Linked DNA regions of Tamandua tetradactyla. The protein of the gene in region 1 purifies or fractionates together with the protein of each later gene. This does not show direct contact. Links are inferred from orthologs where the notes say so. Each region holds a gene or a part of one and is shown in the gene's direction. Other genes may lie near its edges. The genes, in order: GNAI3 and RIC8A.

Evidence for each region.
Region 2: the proteins of GNAI3 (region 1) and RIC8A purify together in Homo sapiens (affinity purification with mass spectrometry; 3 studies listed by BioGRID and IntAct, counting the BioPlex papers as one, with this or other methods). This does not show direct contact. The link is inferred for Tamandua tetradactyla from reciprocal best matches to the Homo sapiens genes GNAI3 and RIC8A.

Annotation. Positions count from the first base shown.
Region 1 is NC_135337.1:13,327,006-13,336,275, reverse strand, and holds the start of GNAI3 (guanine nucleotide-binding protein G(i) subunit alpha-3), read left to right. Parts: upstream 1-5,409; 5' UTR 5,410-5,557; coding exon 5,558-5,675; intron 5,676-9,270. Other genes in the region: GPR61 (G-protein coupled receptor 61), read left to right, coding at 1-1,189. UniProt on the Homo sapiens protein: Heterotrimeric guanine nucleotide-binding proteins (G proteins) function as transducers downstream of G protein-coupled receptors (GPCRs) in numerous signaling cascades.
Region 2 is NC_135335.1:33,436-41,737, forward strand, and holds the start of RIC8A (chaperone Ric-8A), read left to right. Parts: upstream 1-4,398; 5' UTR 4,399-4,497; coding exon 4,498-4,581; intron 4,582-4,774; coding exon 4,775-4,822; intron 4,823-4,920; coding exon 4,921-5,517; intron 5,518-5,949; coding exon 5,950-6,038; intron 6,039-6,532; coding exon 6,533-6,683; intron 6,684-7,606; coding exon 7,607-7,702; intron 7,703-7,787; coding exon 7,788-7,932; intron 7,933-8,082; coding exon 8,083-8,227; intron 8,228-8,302. Other genes in the region: BET1L (BET1-like protein), read right to left, coding at 1,171-1,338, 1,477-1,533, 1,761-1,852, 2,933-2,951.

The DNA of each region.
Region 1 (9,270 bases):
CGTGGCTGGCAACGCTGCCGTGATGGCTGTCATCGCCAAGACGCCTGCCCTCCGGAAATTCGTCTTCGTCTTTCACCTCTGCCTGGTGGACCTGCTGGCCGCCCTGACACTCATGCCCCTGGCCATGCTCTCCAGCTCCACCCTCTTTGACCACGCCCTCTTCGGGGAGGTCACCTGCCGCCTCTACCTGTTCCTGAGCGTGTGCTTTGTCAGCCTGGCCATCCTCTCTGTGTCGGCCATCAACGTGGAGCGCTACTATTACGTGGTCCACCCCATGCGCTACGAGGTGCGCATGACGCTGGGGCTGGTGGCCTCCGTGCTGGTGGGTGTGTGGGTGAAGGCCTTAGCCATGGCGTCCGTGCCTGTGTTGGGAAGGGTCTCCCGAGAGGAAGGAGCTCCCGGCGACCCCCCAGGCTGCTCGCTCCAATGGAGCCACAGTGCCTACTGCCAGCTTTTCGTGGTGGTCTTCGCTGTCCTTTACTTCTTGCTGCCCCTGCTCCTCATGCTTGTGGTCTACTGCAGCATGTTCCGGGTGGCTCGCGTGGCTGCCATGCAGCATGGGCCCCTGCCCACGTGGATGGAGACGCCCCGGCAACGCTCGGAATCGCTCAGCAGCCGCTCCACCATGGTCACCAGTTCTGGGGCCCCCCAGACCACCCCACACCGGACGTTTGGGGGCGGGAAGGCAGCAGTGGTCCTCCTAGCCGTGGGGGGACAGTTCCTGCTCTGCTGGTTGCCCTATTTCTCTTTCCACCTCTATGTCGCCCTGAGTGCTCAGCCCACTTCAGCTGGGCAGGTAGAGAGTATAGTGACCTGGATTGGCTACTTCTGCTTCACTTCCAACCCTTTCTTCTATGGATGTCTCAACCGGCAGATCCGCGGGGAGCTCAGCAAGCAGTTTGTCTGCTTCTTCAAGCCAGCTCCAGAGGAGGAACTGAGACTGCCTAGCCGGGAAGGCTCGATTGAGGAGAACTTCCTGCAGTTCCTTCAGGGGACTGGCTGTCCCACGGAGTCCTGGGTTCCACGACCACTCCCTAGCCCCAAGCAGGAGCCACCTGCTGTCGACTTTCGAATTCCAGGCCAGATAGCTGAGGAGACCTCTGAGTTCCTGGAACAGCAACTCACTAGCGACATCATCATGTCGGACAGCTACCTCCATCCTGCCCCCTCACCCCGGCAGGAATCATGATGGGTTACTGGATGTTTGGAGGGAGATGGGGTTGGGGGTTGGTTATGATTGCGAGGACCACCTTGTGGGATCACCTTTTCCCAGCTGGGAGGGGCCGGGACAGGGTCTCTGAACCCATCTTTTGATGAGAATTTCCTGGGTCAAGAACAGAGTCAACAGGTTGGACATATGACAAAAGTCCTTGGACTTGGCTGAGAGCCTTGATGACTGGGGGAGGGAACCCGGGAGTGGTGAGACACTGATGAGAGAAAAGGTCACAAAGGTGAGGTGAAGCCTCTCAACTGGGGAACTTTCCATGCCTCAGGCAGCAGGGAAGCTCTGTAAGGGTAGGATTTGAAGGATATAGGCCAGGTTTGGCCTTATTCTGGGGCCATTCAGAATATTTTATTTTTCAGTGTAATTATCCAGGGCAGTAACTGCACCCAAGCAAAGTAAGAAAATGATCTGTCTTCTCATCTCCTTGGTAGGCTTAACAAGTATTAAATTACAGCCAAGTGTTTCCATTTGAGTTAATAGATGATTTTCTAGTTTTATACCTGATATTTCTTTAAAGTGAGAGAACCAGTTGGATATATTTCTCTCTACCAGTTTTCTGAGTTTTACCAGAAGTAAGGAGAAGGTAGCAATCAGGGTATATGGAGTAGGAAACAGGAAAGCTGACTGCAGCTTCTCTCTTCCGCTCTTCAAGAACAGTCCTTTTGCTCTATTTCCCTGTTTCTCTTCCATGCCTGGAGACCAAGATTGAGGCTTAATCTCAGCAAAGGCAAAAATAAGACAGGGATGGCTTTTTCCCCCCTCATTTCAGAGTCAGAAAGCTGGGGGTAGGGGGACTAACATTTGAATTGCTAAGGTGACTGGGTACAAAGGGACCAGATAATCACCTTGATCAATAATACTGATCACCTTTTCCTTCCAGGAATGACCTCCCTGATCTTTCTCCTCATGGCAGTGACTCCACCTCCAGCCCTCTGGACAATAGGGTACAAGAGACTAAGGTTGGGCATGGGAAAGGTGGGGTTTCCATGGTCCATTAAATTTCTCCCTTTCATTCATCGTGCTCAAAATTAGCTTCATAACAAAAACTTAAATCTCTCTCCAGTATGCAGCTCTGGGTTGGAGACAGGGCACAGGAGTTGGGCTCAGCTTTCCACGGTTTGATTCAGTAGGAACTGTGTTGGTTGGTAGTGGTGGCCAACGCATGGATCAACCAAATTTTCAAGTGAAGGGGAATAACTGCAAACTGGACAGGATGTGGGACTACCTGTCTACCCCATTTCCGTCAATACAGTCAGGTGACACTAAAGAGTCACGGACAGCATGGTGGTGTGTCTGCATTTGAATAACGCCTGACTCAATGTTAATGGGGAAAATGGGATGGTGGGAGTGGGATAGTTTCCCCTTTGAATAGCCAATAAATAATTTTTATTATAAAAGACTATACTGATATCAACATTGACTCTATCAGTTCCACTCAGTGCATAATATTTGGATACCCATATCCCCTGGGACTTACAGAGAGGATGTGTGGTCACTGCCTTCAAGGAGTTCATAGTCTAATTTGATCAGATATATTGTACTTTACAGGGATTTACAGCTGGTAAAGCACTGTAGAAAATATTCAAGAAATAGAGTGGAGAATATATCCAGGGTTCTAACTTTTCAGAGTTGAGTCCATTGCAGCAAAATATCTACACTGAGGCTTACTGCAGATTGTGGAAAGGATGGGGGTTGTAAATGAAAATTCTCTAGTGAAGAAAGTAAAGAAAGGAAACTGAGCAAACCTTCCTTTTCCCCTCTTCACCTAGGAAAATTTCCAGGTTTCTGTCTTCCTACCATTTACTCCTCCAGTTTAGTGCCTACTATATTGAGGAAATCCCTTAGAAAGATAGTATATCCAGGGAGGGGAGTCCTTTGTGATTAAAAACATGTACTTTACTCCCCTCTCTCCTCCATTTTGAGGTAAATTCACACTGAGGAATTTCATTCCTAGATGGTGGGGGGAAACTATTCTTCCTAAAACCCCTGATCAGCTAGTAGACCCTAAGTATTGCCAGCAGGTGGCAGTATGAGTCCAGTGGAAATAGGAAAGGGGCGTATCCTAGGGGTGGTGGTGGGTGGTGTTGGCATTAAACCATTAAACGTCTGGCAGCCATTTTATTAATTTATTTTGCCTTTTCTTTTGGTTTTGCCCTCTAACCTTTCCTTCACATACATCAAAGAAGAAAGTTTTAATTGCAAGGATTTCTCTAGTTCAGACTGAAATTTCCTGACACTGTGATCTCACTAGCGTTTATTATAGTTTGACATATATGGGTTCACTTGCCATTTATTCTTCTCTGTCCAAGGGCATAATGAAAGAGACTCTTCTGTTATGCTGAGAACCTGCCCAACAATTTCAAACATGGTCACTTCCCAGTTTTCTAGTCACCAGAATAACCCGATAAAAATTTAATATGTAATCCTTAGCTCGGAAGCTATTCCTGGACAAAACTTGAACTTTCCAATCATTGAAGAATCAACAGATTGGGGAACCTATCTTGTCAATTCTTTTTGGCTTCCTGGTAGTGTCAGGGTGACTCCCAGTCTTACGTGAAAATTATAGATCCTCTCTTGTCAGATCTTCTCAATTAACGTCATATAGGGGCATGGTAGAAAAGGGGCAAATTTGGAGTCAGATCTAGTACTCACTGTGTGAACATGGGAAAGCTGCTTAATTTTCTCTGAGCCTATTTCCTCATCTGTAAAAATGGGGATAATATTACCTACCTCACAGGGTTGTTGTGAGGATTAAGAGATGAAACATGGAAGCACTAGCCTTACCTGGCATATAGGCACTCAATAAATATTGGTTTTTCTTCCCTTTCCTCTTGCCCTTTTTCCCCAGAAATATTGATTATGAAAAAACTGTCCCTTTCATCCTAAGAGTCAGTCTGGAATGAATGGGAGACTTTTCAAACTTTGAAGAATTGGCATTGATAAGAGTTATGGTGGGTGATGCAGTCTAAGGTGGCTCTCAAGGAATCACTCTAATTAATCAATCACCATATAAACGTTTCTGCTGGGAACCTTAGATCCTAAGGTTTAAATTCTATTAGGGTAATGAAATAATTTTTAATCACAGGCAAAGATTTTGGGATCTACAAAAGAGTCTTCCTCCTGAGAAATTATGGTGAAGACACTGAGGGGGGTATTTGTCAGTGAAAGAAATTTAGGGCATTTTCACACTAGTACTCAGGGTTACCTGTGAAAGGGTATCAGTCTGGGCTTTCACAGGGATTTACTTATCTTCAGGTGACACTTGAGCTGAAAGTCAAGCTTTACTAAAACTTCCCTTTTTGTGTGGTACAACAGGAAATTTTAGGAGTTTTACAGGCCGCAATGGGTGGTTTTGGAGGAGGGGCTGAGGGTGACTAATTTTGGCACAAGTCCTAAGCCCCTAACCCAAGACATCTGTAAACGCTATAATTGGCTTATATTGGGAAGAAGGGCAGCAAGCAAATTTTAAGCAGGAACTACACGCTTAATTTTCAGGTTACAGGGTATCAGTTGGTGATTGCAAATGGCCCTCAGTCAACATAAGAGCTGGGTAATTCCCAAGCCCACAGTGTAAGTAATGGCACAAGGACCACGATACACTTTGAAAGGAGGAGGCAGTGAGTCGAGCAGAGGGCAGAAAGGGATCGCTAACCCCCCCGCACGATTGGTGTTACTGATATCAGATGTGAGGCGTGGCCGGGGCCCAAGCTAGGCAGTTTGTTCCCATCCTATAGAACCTGGCTGAAACGACCCTGGAGGAGGATAGGATCTAAACTTGGGCAGGCCCAGATCTCTACCGCCAGAGAGCAAAGAAGCCTTCCGGTCAGGATCGATAGATTGCACCAGCAAAGCTCTGGGTGAGGGCTAGTCGTTCTTAACCTGGGAATTACACCCCAATCGCCACACCCACCCAGGTCCAAACTCTGCTGTGTGACGTCGGGAGGCCTCTAAGAGCTGGAGAAGCCAAGCCCGGGTTTGTCTATAGTTATGGAAAACAAGCAGCCGAAAAGGGAAAAAGGGACTAAGCTCGGGTGGCGTACAATTGGCTCCACAGGACCTCGCAGCTTCACGAACCACCGCCCCGCGTCGCCTCTATTCCCAGCACTTCCGTTTTCGTTCACCTCTTCTGTTCCCAAGCTAGAGATTTGAAAGGGGACGGCCGCGGGGCGTCTCCGGAAGTGTCGCAAACACCGGATATCCGTTTTCTCCGGGCTCTCCGGGAGCCTACAGAGAGGGCCGCCGCCCAGCAGCAGACGCTGTCTCTGTCGCTCGAACCGCAGTTCCCGCGGTGTGTGAGTGTGTCCGGGCCCTGTCCCCTCTCCCGCCGCCGCCATGGGCTGCACGTTGAGCGCCGAAGACAAGGCGGCGGTGGAGCGGAGCAAGATGATCGACCGCAACTTGCGAGAGGACGGGGAAAAAGCAGCCAAAGAAGTGAAGCTGCTGCTACTTGGTGAGGGTCCCAGGGCGGGGCCGGTGAGGTGGTCGGGAGGGCCTAGACATTTGGGGAGGCCTGAGGCGGGGGCTCACGTCAGGTCAGCGGAAAGTACCCCGATGGGATCTAGAGAGCGCGACGGACTTGGGGCGGGGTGTTGGGGTTGGTGGCTGAGGCCGGGAGGGCGTGATGAAGGGGTGGGGCTTTGGGGTTGTAGGAATTAGGCTGTAGAGGGTGTGACTCCTTGCTGGAATTGCGTTTAGCAAAGAGAATTTGGGAGCGTGGGGCGATAGGATATTTGGACTTTGATAGAAACATGGGACATGCCTAAAGGAAGAGCTGATATTAGGGAAGGTTTTGTATGGGGTTGGTGTATTGAGTGAGGACGCGGTAGAGTATGATGTGTTGGGCTTGTTTAATGGCTTGTGAGTTTTAATGACAGGATAAAGCTGGGAGACTTGAATGATTATTATAAATAGAGAGGCTGGGACACGGTGGTCACACAGGGATCCTATCGTGTTAGAGAGGGAACATTCTGAACTATTTGTAAGGTGGAGGAGCCTTCAGTTATCCAGGAACATGAAGGTAGGTGGTTGAAATGACAAGTTTTCTAGTTTAAAGAAAAAGACCTTGGGTGTTGACGCTATCTTTATACTTTACCCCTTTTTTCTATCATTTGTATTCTTTTAAGGTTTCATACCCCCCCTTTTTTTATAAAGAAGGGTGGATGTTGGTACCAGCTGAAGAATTTAAAGAATGCTTGTGTTTTGACAAAAGAGGTAGAGGGTAAAAGATTACACGTTGAGAGTTGCCGAATAGTTGCTCGGAATAGTGCGCTGGGAATGAAGGAGCTATTTTAGTATAAAATATGGAATTGTACGTTTTCTGTAAAGGTTGTGACAGAGCTCTGTGAACTATTTTTATCTTTTCTGGTCTCTTCAAACCAAAATATTGGCTTTTACTGTTTATGTTACCGGGCATTGGTTTTAAGTGGTTTTTATGTACAGTTGTATGCACTTTACTCAGCATGACTTAGTCTAAAAATTTTTGAGAAACTGGCTTCTAGAGGCTCAATAAATCATATAAGGTACCTTGACGTTAGCTTCCCAAGAAATCAAGCCACATTTCTTCACTATTAGTATTTTCTAGGGATCCGTTAAAGAAGAATAATTAGGAGTAATGATTTCTGTAAGCAGTAGAACAACTTTACTTTTTAAAACATTTGACTTTGGAGCAAAAATAGTTGCTTTAGGGAAAATGCCAAATTTTCTGCCCTGGAGGAGGGAATGCTCCACCATAGCTCTTGTCTTTTTTTGTATTCCAGGATGTGCCTGGTATTCCTGCTTGTCTCTTCTTGTTAACGTATTTGGTTGTTTGTAGGTTGAACAGGCTGTGTTAACAACTTATTTGGACATAGGGGGAAAGTTAGGCACTGGAGCTTGAGCGTCCAGTTTGAATACCCAAACTTTCAGAAAGCATAAATTCTAATTGTTCTAGACTGCCACTATATAATAGATATCATTTGTGGATGAGCACAATCCCTGGCACGTAGTTGATGTTTTTTAAATATTTGCTGTTAACCAGCAAGAGCCAGTTAATGTTGATATTGATCCTGGAGGCCTTTTAAATATTTAATATAAACCACAACACTCAAGGCATTGGCATTTTCTCTATTGATCAGTTGGTTATGAAATTAAAGGTGTATTCTTATCTTCTGTGAGTGTTTTAATTTACATTGATCTTCAGAAATCCTCGCAGGATATTGGCCTATTGTAATGTAGTTATAAACTGTGAGGCATTCTTCCAGATGGCAGGAATTGGCAGGCAGAACTTGGGCGTGCAGAACTTGTTCAAATGTCTAGAAAAATCTTTATTCAGGACTTTATAAATAGTGTATCTAATTAAAAACAAAATCAAACACATGATGACTTAGGGAACTTGTAGAGCAGTGAATAAAAATCAAACTACTAAAACATTTGTTTTGAATTTTTATCAGATTTATTATTTTTTAAGTGTTTTTGTATTCTTGAGCAAGTTCAGATAGCTTGCAGAGAGACGAATGCTCTTGCTTCAACTGTATCATAAGAAACATATGAAATTAAAATGATCTTCCTTGCTATTTCTGTAAGTAGAAGGTACCCGTCATGGTACACAAATAATTCTTTGTCGTAGAATACCTCCTTTGATGTGCGTGCAAGTCATTTTTACTTCATCACTGTGAAACTATAGAACTTAGTTAATTTGAGATCTGTCTACATTACCCTTGTCTCTCCTGGCCCATAATAGGTATTTAGTAAATATTAATTTATTTTCTTCTTTACATAGATGTAGCTTAGCATAGTGCTTAATAACGTGGGTTCTGAAGTCAGACTACTTCAAGTCTTAATTCCCATTTACCAGTTTTAACCTTGGGAAAGTGATTTATTCAGTTTTTTTCTCTCAGTTTCCTCATGGTTAAAACAGAGAAAATCAAGGTTCTTAGATTTGCTATAAGGATTAATTATAAGAATGTAAAGTAGAATACAGCTTGTCAAATAGTACTAGCTCAATGACAATTATTTATTAGTATTTATTAGTATTGTTTGTTAGTATTAAGCCAAAATGAATGTTAGAGATTCTAGATATTAGAGAAATTCAAATAAAGAAACCACTGTGGACAGAATTAGTTAAGGAAGACTTCAGTATTGGCAATTTTTCCTTTGTTATATATCTTTGATGTCTTTAGATGTTTTTGGGAAGCTCTTGATATGTCAAATTAGTGTTCAGTCAGTGTTCTCTTGAAAAGCAAAATTACATTATGCAGTTTCCCAGTCAGTGTGCTTAGAGCATATGATGCCTTACAGATGCACTACTTGCACATTTTTTATAGTGTTGAAATTTCAAATTATTTTTGTAATTTTTCATAATTGTACAACAGTTAAAATGATATTTGATCATTTTTCGTTTAATTCCCTCTGTAAACTTCCTGAATTTGATCATTTGAAAATATTTTATTTAGAAAGTTTGTGCCAAATCAGTATTCAATATCATCTGTAATATTTTGCATTTTATTTTTCGTGTCAGAAGTTCATAGTATAAAGTAAATATTTGTTTTTCACCAAGTCCCTCCATTTTACCCTGGTCTTACCAATACTATAATTTTCGATGTGTGCCATGATAGGACAAAAGTTAGGAAGCACTAGTATGATGGATAAGAGCACAGTCCCCACCTGCGAGGCCCAGAGCAAAGAATTTAACCGCACGGTAGCCCCTCAGAAGTACACCGTGATGGTTCCACAGGAGGCTATGGGTGGGGTTGCCGTATTATCTTGCAACCTTGTTGCTAGATGTATACCTGGAGGAACTGAGAATGGGGACTTGAATGGACATTTGCATACTTATGTTTATGGCAGCAGTGTTTGTGATTTGCAATGAATAGAGATGACCTAAGGGGTACAGTGACTGAGAAATGAAAGGGGAACTGTAGTGTTTATGTACAGTGAACTACACAGCAGCTGCAAGAAGGAATGAAGTTGTGAGGCATGCAGCTAGGTGAATGAACCTTAAGGACAGTATGCTGAATGAAATGGGAGAAGCAAAAACAAATATCATGCTTCACTCACATGGACTAACT
Region 2 (8,302 bases), on another chromosome or scaffold:
GGGGCCTGGGAAGTGAGTTCGCAGGGCTGAAGGCTGCATCGAGGCTGTGGGAGCTGACTGCAGCAGGCTATGGCAGACAGCCGGTTTAGGTTTCAGAGACAAAGCCTTCTAAGCTGGACAAACTCAGAAAGAGGCCTTGCAAGTGGGTGAACTGTGAGTCAGGGCCTCACAGAGTGGCCAGGAAGGCAGAAGATGAATCAGATAGGACAGGGGAGGGTCCCAAGCTCAATGGCTTGGTCTTAAAGGCATTGGGTCTGACCTGTCCAGGGTTGGTGTGATGGTGGAGAGAGTACGCAGTGGGAAATGAGGGCCCAGGGAGGGCGGTGGCTCAGAGATACATGCACTCAGGAGGAAGGGTCCCTCACAGTGGGAGGAAGGGCAGGGTTTGGTGGAAGAATAAGTTAACCACACATGGCTGGCAACCCCTACAGGTGACAGAGGCAGCAGTGTCCTGTGAAAAGCAGGTGGAAGGCCTCACCCATACTCAGCCACTCCTGGAGGTCTGGTCTCGTGGAACCCATCTGCAAGGCTGGGTAAATGCACACCCTGAGTGTGAATTCCTGCTCTGAACAAGCCCAGAAGCGCTTAGGGCTCAGAGCCTCTGTATCCACAGGCCCCAGGGTTTGGCTCCAGCTGCCCTCTGTCTACCCCAAGGAGGGAAATGAGCGTGAGCACAGAGGGTACTGGGGGAGGAGCTGGCCTGCATTGGTGTGACCTTGCCCAGGCAGCCTTGGCCAAGAGCAGCTGCTGTTGGAGAGGGTGGGCCAAAGAGATAGCGCTGTTTCAGGTTTGAAGGTAGAGTCACTTTTCATGCCAGCCTCATGCTGCACAAATCACACACATGGCCTTGCTCAGAGGAAACGGTAGAGGAACCTTGAGACGCCTGAGGGCTGGGAGAGGGGCTGCCAGCACAGTGCTATGTGTCTTCAGGCTCCAACCAGGGACTGGAGGACGCTGGGCCTCCTTTCCCCAGGGAAAGTGTCCCTTCCGTGGATGGGACCAGCCAACAGATGCTCATGTCCAGAACAGGAAGAAGACCTCTGACCCACAATCGTAAATTCAAAGGAATGTTGTAGGGAAGTGCTCCGGAGCCCAGGAGCCCAGGTGGGGCACAGGGTGGCCCTGGCTGGCCCCAGCACCCGCAGTGGCAGCTCGCCCACCCCCGCTCGCTCACGTCCGCGCCCTGGACAACAGGTAGGAGAGGATGAAGAAGGCCACAATCAGGGCCACAGCCACACTGCACAGAAGCTTCCGGTTGTCTCGCCCAGACCGTGCCATTGTGGAGAAGCGCTTCACACTCCCAGTGAGCAGACCCGTCATGCTCATGAAATCTGAGTCCTGAGGGAGGAATCCCAGTACTGTTACACGCGCTGGCACCTCCACACCCACCTCTGCTGGTGCCCAAGAACAGTGCCCGACCCCAGATGGTGTGGGCCCAAGCTCAGCAGGGCACCCTAGAGCTTCAAAGGCTCTTACCATGCCATCCAGGTACCGGTTCTGGTCTTCTGCATCCCTATCAATGTCCAGGGCAAGCTGGCCAGGGCACAGAGAGGGCAGGTTCAGGCCAGGCCAGACATGGGGCAGCACCCTTCCTCCCCCAGGACCAGCCAGAACAAACGCCACCCTCACCAAACACGAAGGTCAGAAAATGCCCCCCAGGCCTCAAGTAGCCAGCAAGGAGAATGGAAAGCAGCCTGGAGCCCCCCAAGCTGCACCCTCCTGGGGGTCCTGCTCCCAAGAGAAAGGAGACCGCCACAGACCGATTTGAGCCTGGTGACCTTGGAGGCCAGGTTGTCGGCCATCCGCTTGTTGTCCCGGTCCAGAATCTCCTCCACGACACCGGGGCTCTGAGCTGTAGAGACAGGCTGAAGTTGTGCATCCACCCATGAGCACAATCCCTGACCCTCAGACCACAGAAAGTTGGCCCTTTGTGGCCTCAACCCCATCTGCCTCAGTCTGAAGTCTGGGCAGGGGTGGGGGCTGGGTCTCCACCTGTAACCCGCTGGGCAGGGACAGGTTTGTGGCCCTTGTGTTTGTGCAACAGTAAACAACCACGTGGGAGCATGTCCCCTGTACACATGCAGGATGTGTGGCTTGCCCTCTGGGGTGTACCCCAACAGGTTCAGCCCATCCGGCACGCCAAGCCAGACAGGACTAATCCCAGGGAGGCAGTGAGACGCAGTACCTGCCTGCAGCAAGGTTACCATGCATGTACCTCCCGCCTGTCCTGGGGAGGGCCCAGGGAAGAGCACTAGCTCAAGGAGGACAGCCGCGAGGGCTGTGTGGGCGTAACCTGTGACCTGGTCCTGAAAAAGTAACCGATAACCAAGGGCAGGACATCGGGGAGGCCCTTCTATACGGAGAAAAGGAAGCGAGCAAAGTTCCCTAACCAAAATGTGGGCAGGGTCCAGCCCCGAGGGCAGGGCCTAGGTTTGCTCACCTATGTCCCCACAGCACCTCCCAGAACAACGAGGGCACGGTGCGAGACCCGCCCGGTAACTCCGGCCAACCCCATTCCCCGCTGCACACCCGAACTGGACCAGTGGCGTGAATGTATCACATTCGGTGGGTGAGACTCGCCCTCCACGGGGCCGATACCCTGAGAGTCCGAGGCCTTAGGAATCTCTGACTCGTACAGACCCGGAAGGAAGGGGCGGCTGCGGAAAGGCGCCCCGTTGTGCCAGGCATTGTGCCACGCACCCCGCCAACGCCTTCGCGTCCGTTCCCTCCTTCAGTCGTCACGACAGCCCAGGAGAGCGGGAGCGGCACCCGGCCGGACCCTCCCAGGCCTCCGGCGGCGAGGGGGGACGCAGCCACGTATCCTCGGCGGGGCGCTGACTGGGGGCTGTCCCCTCCCGCCGACGGGCGCCCGGGGTCGGATCCAACCCCGGCCCGTCCCGTCCCCCGGACCCCCGGCCCACCCCGCGCTCACCCCGAGCCCAGTCCGCCATCGCGTCCAGCGCCGCCGAGGACGTGGCGCGGGGTCGCGGGGTCACGGCGTCGCAGGGTCACGGGGAGGGACTTCCGGCCCCGCCCCTTCTGCCGCCGCGGGCGCGGAGGGACTGAGGAGTCCGACGTTTGTTTCATTGTCAGTGGACCCGGGACGACCTGGACCCCGCACTTGGGAGCCCTTGCGCCATTCGCTTTAACGTCGAAATGTCTTTTCTCTCGGTTATTCAGGCGAGGTTAGGTCCTAAGAAGTGGGAGGAGCGCCAGCGCCTTTGCCGGGGCGCGGTGTTGGCGCACGAGTTCGCCGCCCCACTCGGCCTCGAGTGACCTGGGGAATTTAACCTTCGTGCATTTTAGTTCCCGAGTCTGTAAGGCGGTTTCCTCGTTTGAACTTAGACCATTGCCTGGAACAAGTAAACCTGAATAAGTGCTTTAAAAATAAAATGCAGATAAGTAACAGTGAACCAAGGAAAAGGGTTTGGGGAAGGGGCAGCGGAGACAGTAGGAACCAGTGTTTCCTGCTTTTGAATCCTGGTACCAAGGGCCTGGCATGACAGATGTGTGATAAAAGAACAGAGAGGTGGGTGAGTAGTTTGTATTTATGAATTACTCACCGCTACGAGGTATCTTCTGTGTGTCAGTTACGAGTGCCTGTAATCCTCAGTGCAACCCCTTGAAGTGGACACTTTCCCCTCTGCTTTACAGAAGAGGACACGAACTCTGAGCTAGAGCGCGTTTCAGGGTTTCACAGCTCGGAAGTCGCTGCACTTACTCCGGCCCTGCGTTCACCCCCGACCTCTGCCAACCGAGCCGTTCCTTCTGCCTGGAGTGGCCTCCCCCAAGTCTTTTCACGGTCCCCTATCGTGAGCATCAGGTCTCATCAGAAGTAGCACTTCCCTAGAGCCTTCTGCCGACCCCCCGCAATTGGGGACAACAGCAGCCTGTTGTTTTTAAAACCACAACGCTTAGGACCACGCAGAGTCGTCTTGTCTGTCTTTCCTTGTCCGTCTTCCCCTCTGGAACCAGCTCCAGGACGGCAGGGTCTTCCTGACCCGCGTCCCCAGCGCCTCGCCTGCAGCAGGCGCTCCACGACGCCGGTTTAGTAAACCAAAGGCTCTGAGACCGCAAAGCCCTCTCCGCTGGCGCTTTCCTCCTCCATCCCACTCATTCTGTGGATAAAGATGGGGGGATCGGGAGAGTTCTCCTTTTGAAATTCCGGCCCAAGAAGCGCACGAGGGAGGGGTCACGGTTTGGCCAAGGGGTGACTTGGGCCCCAAGCCGGCGGGTCCCGGAGTCGGGGCTTCAACGCCAGCGCCGTTCCGGGTCCACCTTAAACCGCGCACCTTAAGCGGCGCGCGGCCTCGCCCCGCCCCCCGCGCGTGCCGGCCCCGCCCCGCCCCGTCCCGGCCTCCCCCGCGCGCCGGACGCGGGCTGCCCGAGGCAGGGCGGGGCCGCGCGCGGGCTGGACTCGGGCTGGACTTGGGCCCCGCCGCGGCGCGACGTCCCCCCTGGCTCGCGGCCGGAGCCTTCGGGCGTCCTGGGGGCGCCATGGAGCCCCGGGCGGTTGCCGACGCCGTGGAGACGGGGGAGGAGGACGTGATCGTGCAGGCTCTGCGGACCTACAACCGGGAGGTGAGCGCAGGCGGCGGACGTGGGACGTGCATGGGGCGGCGAGGGGCGCGGGACGGTGCCCGGGGTGCACGCGGCGGGGACAGGTGCGCGGCGGGGCGCGTGCAGGCCCCGCCTGGGTCAGGCAGCCCCCCCAGTGCGCGGCCCCGCCCTGTCCGGGGTCTGCGCTCCGAGAACCCTCCCGGTGTCTTTGCAGAACTCCCAGAGCTTCACGTTCGACGAGGCTCAGCTGGACGACAGGAAGGTGGGTGGCAGCGGTAAAGGGCAGGGGCCGGGGGTCCTAGGAGGCGCCGTGGGGAGGGTGTTGGGGCTCCGGGCAGCCGCCCTTTCATCTGCTCACAGAAACTGGCGGAGCTGCTCGTCTCGGCCCTGGAGCAGGGCTTGCCGCCCTCCCACCGCGTCACCTGGCTGCAGAGTGTCCGCATCTTGTCCCGGGACCGCAGCTGCCTGGACCGGTTCACCAGCCGCCAGAGCCTGCAGGCCCTGGCCCGCCATGCCGGCATCTCAGCCCCCGAGGGCTCCGCCCTCAAGGCCCCGGGTGCGGATATGGACGTCGTGCTGGAGTCCCTCAAGTGCCTGTGCAACCTTGTGCTCAGCAGCCCCTTGGCGCAGCAGCTGGCAGCCGAGGCCGGCGTGGTGGTGAGGCTCGCCGAGCGCGTGCGGCTCTCCCGGGAGAGGAGCGTCCCACATGATGTCCAGTTCTTTGACCTGCGGCTCCTCTTCCTGCTCACGGCTCTGCGCACCGACGTGCGCCAGCAGCTGTTTGAGGAGCTACAGGGGGTGCGCCTGCTGACTGACACGCTGGAGCTGACCCTCGGGGCAGACCCCGAAGACTGCGCCCCTGAGTGCCTCCCGCACCAGGAGACTGAGCGGGCCATGGAGGTCCTCAAGGTGCTTTTCAACATCACCTTTGACACCACCAAGAGGGAGGCAGACCAGGTGAGGCCCGAATCCTAGGCCCCGCGACATGCCAGGAACCTAAACGGATCTGGCGTCAGGCATAGAGAGGTTAGGGGAGGCCAAGGAGGGGCTCCCTCCCAGGAGAGAGGCATCTGAGGGAGATAGCTGTTCCTGGGTCTGGAGGTCCAGGTGCCACAGGGTGTGTGGTGTGATGGCAGGCTGAAGGAAACAGCCACTGCAGAACCGTGGGTGTGGACATCTGCAGCCACAGAGTCTTCAGGAAAATGGCACTGGTCGGTCAGCCTCACCACCCAGCAGGGTCGTTTAGGAGAGTACAAAGGCAGCTGTGTGGCAGTCAGAGCCACTGGTTCTCTGGACCTGCAGCCTTGTGTTGGAGGAGGGGCAGGGTGGTAGAGCATGCCTTCAGCTGGCAGCAGCCGCCTTCAGGGATCTGCTCTTCTCTCTGGTCAGGACACTGCCCTTTACCGACACCTGGGCACCCTTCTGCGGCGCTGTGTGATGGTGGCTGCTGCTGGAGACCGGACTGAGGAGTTCCAGGGGTGAGGGCAAGGCTCTGGGCTGGGAGCTGTGTGTGGGGTGGGGGGAGCTCTGTACTTGGCCATGTCTGGCTGGGAGGGGGCCTGTTGTGGGATTGGGGTGCTTCTCAGTCTTGGGTATAAATAAGAACCACCTGGGAGCCCCATTTCCCTTCTTGGAGTCTGAGTTCGCTCCTCTGATGGGACTAGCAAAGTTATTCATAACACCCAAGACCAAAAGCTGTCAGTCTGGCAGAAGGGCATGCCAGCCTGGACCTTGGTGTCAGCAGATCAAGATTGTCACTTGCCGCCATTCTCCATGACCTACTTCCCAGAGAATGTCCATGGCGTGAGGCAGCCAGCCCAGACAGAGGGGTGGGACAGGCAGGGCTTCTCCTGCTTAGCAGGAACAGGGGACCTGGCTGGTGCTGCCCTCTGGCCCCCTGACACTGGCTCACATCGCATGTGGCCCAGCAGGGCAGGCACCTGCCCACCCTCACCTGCACCCCGGTCTGCAGCCACACAGTCAATCTCCTGGGGAATCTGCCTCTCAAGTGTCTGGACGTCCTGCTCCCCCCGGGGCTGCACGAGGGCTCCCTCGAGTTCATGGGAGTGAACATGGATGTGGTTCGTGTGCTCCTGGGCTTCCTGGAGAAGCGCCTGGACCAGGTGGGTAGGCGACCGCGGGACCCTGGCCTTTCTGTGCCGCGGCTCCGTCGTGGTCCTCCCCGCAAAGCTTGCACACCCTTCCTCTTGAAGCCTTCTGTTCTGATGACTGCAAGGATGCAGATGGCAAAACAGCCTGTTTTCAGAGTCTCACGAGTACTCGTACTTGTGCTTTAGACCTTTGGGGCGATACCTTGGGAGCTCCTGGGAAGGCCCCAGTCCCTGCTTGAGTTCCTCAGACTTGTAGATTCGCTGTGTACAGGCAGCTAACCCATCCATGGCTCCTACTTACAAACATCAGTGTCCTTGGCTGCCGTCTCCCACCTCTCCCCAGTATCCCTGGAACCACAGGAATCTCTGGGCAGGCCTGACAGGTCGAGTCCCTGCTGCAGATGAGGATGGGCACATCCTCATCCCACCCCCTGCATGGCACATGGCACTGGAACAGGTGCCCTTTGTCCTTGCTGCTACGGCTGCTGGTTTGTGGCCAGAGAAGTGACTGGAGGTACTGGGAGGAAAGGGAGTTTTGCTGTCTGTCAACAAAGCCCATAGCTCTGAGGCACCCCTGGCCAAGGGGCGAGTGGAAAAGCTCTTCCTCGGTCTGAAACATCTCAGGAACTGCCTTCTTCCTGTTTTCTATTTATAAATAAAGCATTTAAATGACTGTTTGAAATCAACTAAGACATTACTTTAAAAAAATGAGAAAAATCAGGAACATAGATGTTTTCATAAAAGATTAAAAATCCACATGAAGGGCAATGCAGATCCTTTGGGCAGCAGAGTAGTTAGTGTCTGGCCGAGAGGTGCATCCGCGTGTCCCTGGGGATCACAGCCACCTGCTCTCGGCCCCTCATCTCACTAACGGCAGCTGCGTGCTGGGAGGGGCAGGGCTGGGCGGCTGCCAGGTGATGGTGATTCCTCTGCAGACACAGAGGCTGAAGGAGGGCGTGGCGCCCGTGCTGAGCGTGTTGACGGAGTGTGCCCGCATGCACCGCCCCGTCAGGAAGTTCCTGAAAGCCCAGGTACAGGGCGGGTTAAGGCCAGCCTTCCGGGGGACGTGGAATGGGGACTGAGGACCCCAGGAACTGAGGGGTGGCTGCCTACCAGGTGCTGCCCCCACTGCGGGACGTGAGGGCCCGGCCCGAGGTGGGTGAGCTGCTACGGAACAAGCTTGTCCGCCTCATGACTCACCTGGACACAGATGTCAAGAGGGTGGCAGCTGAGTTCCTCTTTGTCCTGTGTTCCGAGAGTGGTGAGTGGGGGTCCCCCAGCCCTGGTTGGGGAGGGGGTGACGGGTAGGTGAGCAGTGTCGATGTGCCCATCTCCCCCCTACTGCCCAGACTGGAAACCCCACCCCAGCCCACCCGAACCATGTCGGGACACTGACCCCACCCTCCCCCAGTGCCCCGCTTCATCAAGTACACTGGCTTCGGGAACGCTGCCGGACTGCTGGCGGCCCGGGGTCTTATGGCAGGGGGCCGGGACAGGGGCCAGTACTCAGAGGACGAGGACACGGACACAGAGGAGTACAAGGAAGCCAAAGCCAGGTGTGTGGCCTCCCCTCACATCGGCCCCCGGTCCCTGCCCTCAGCAGTATGGACCCTGTTGGGCTGGGTGCTGGG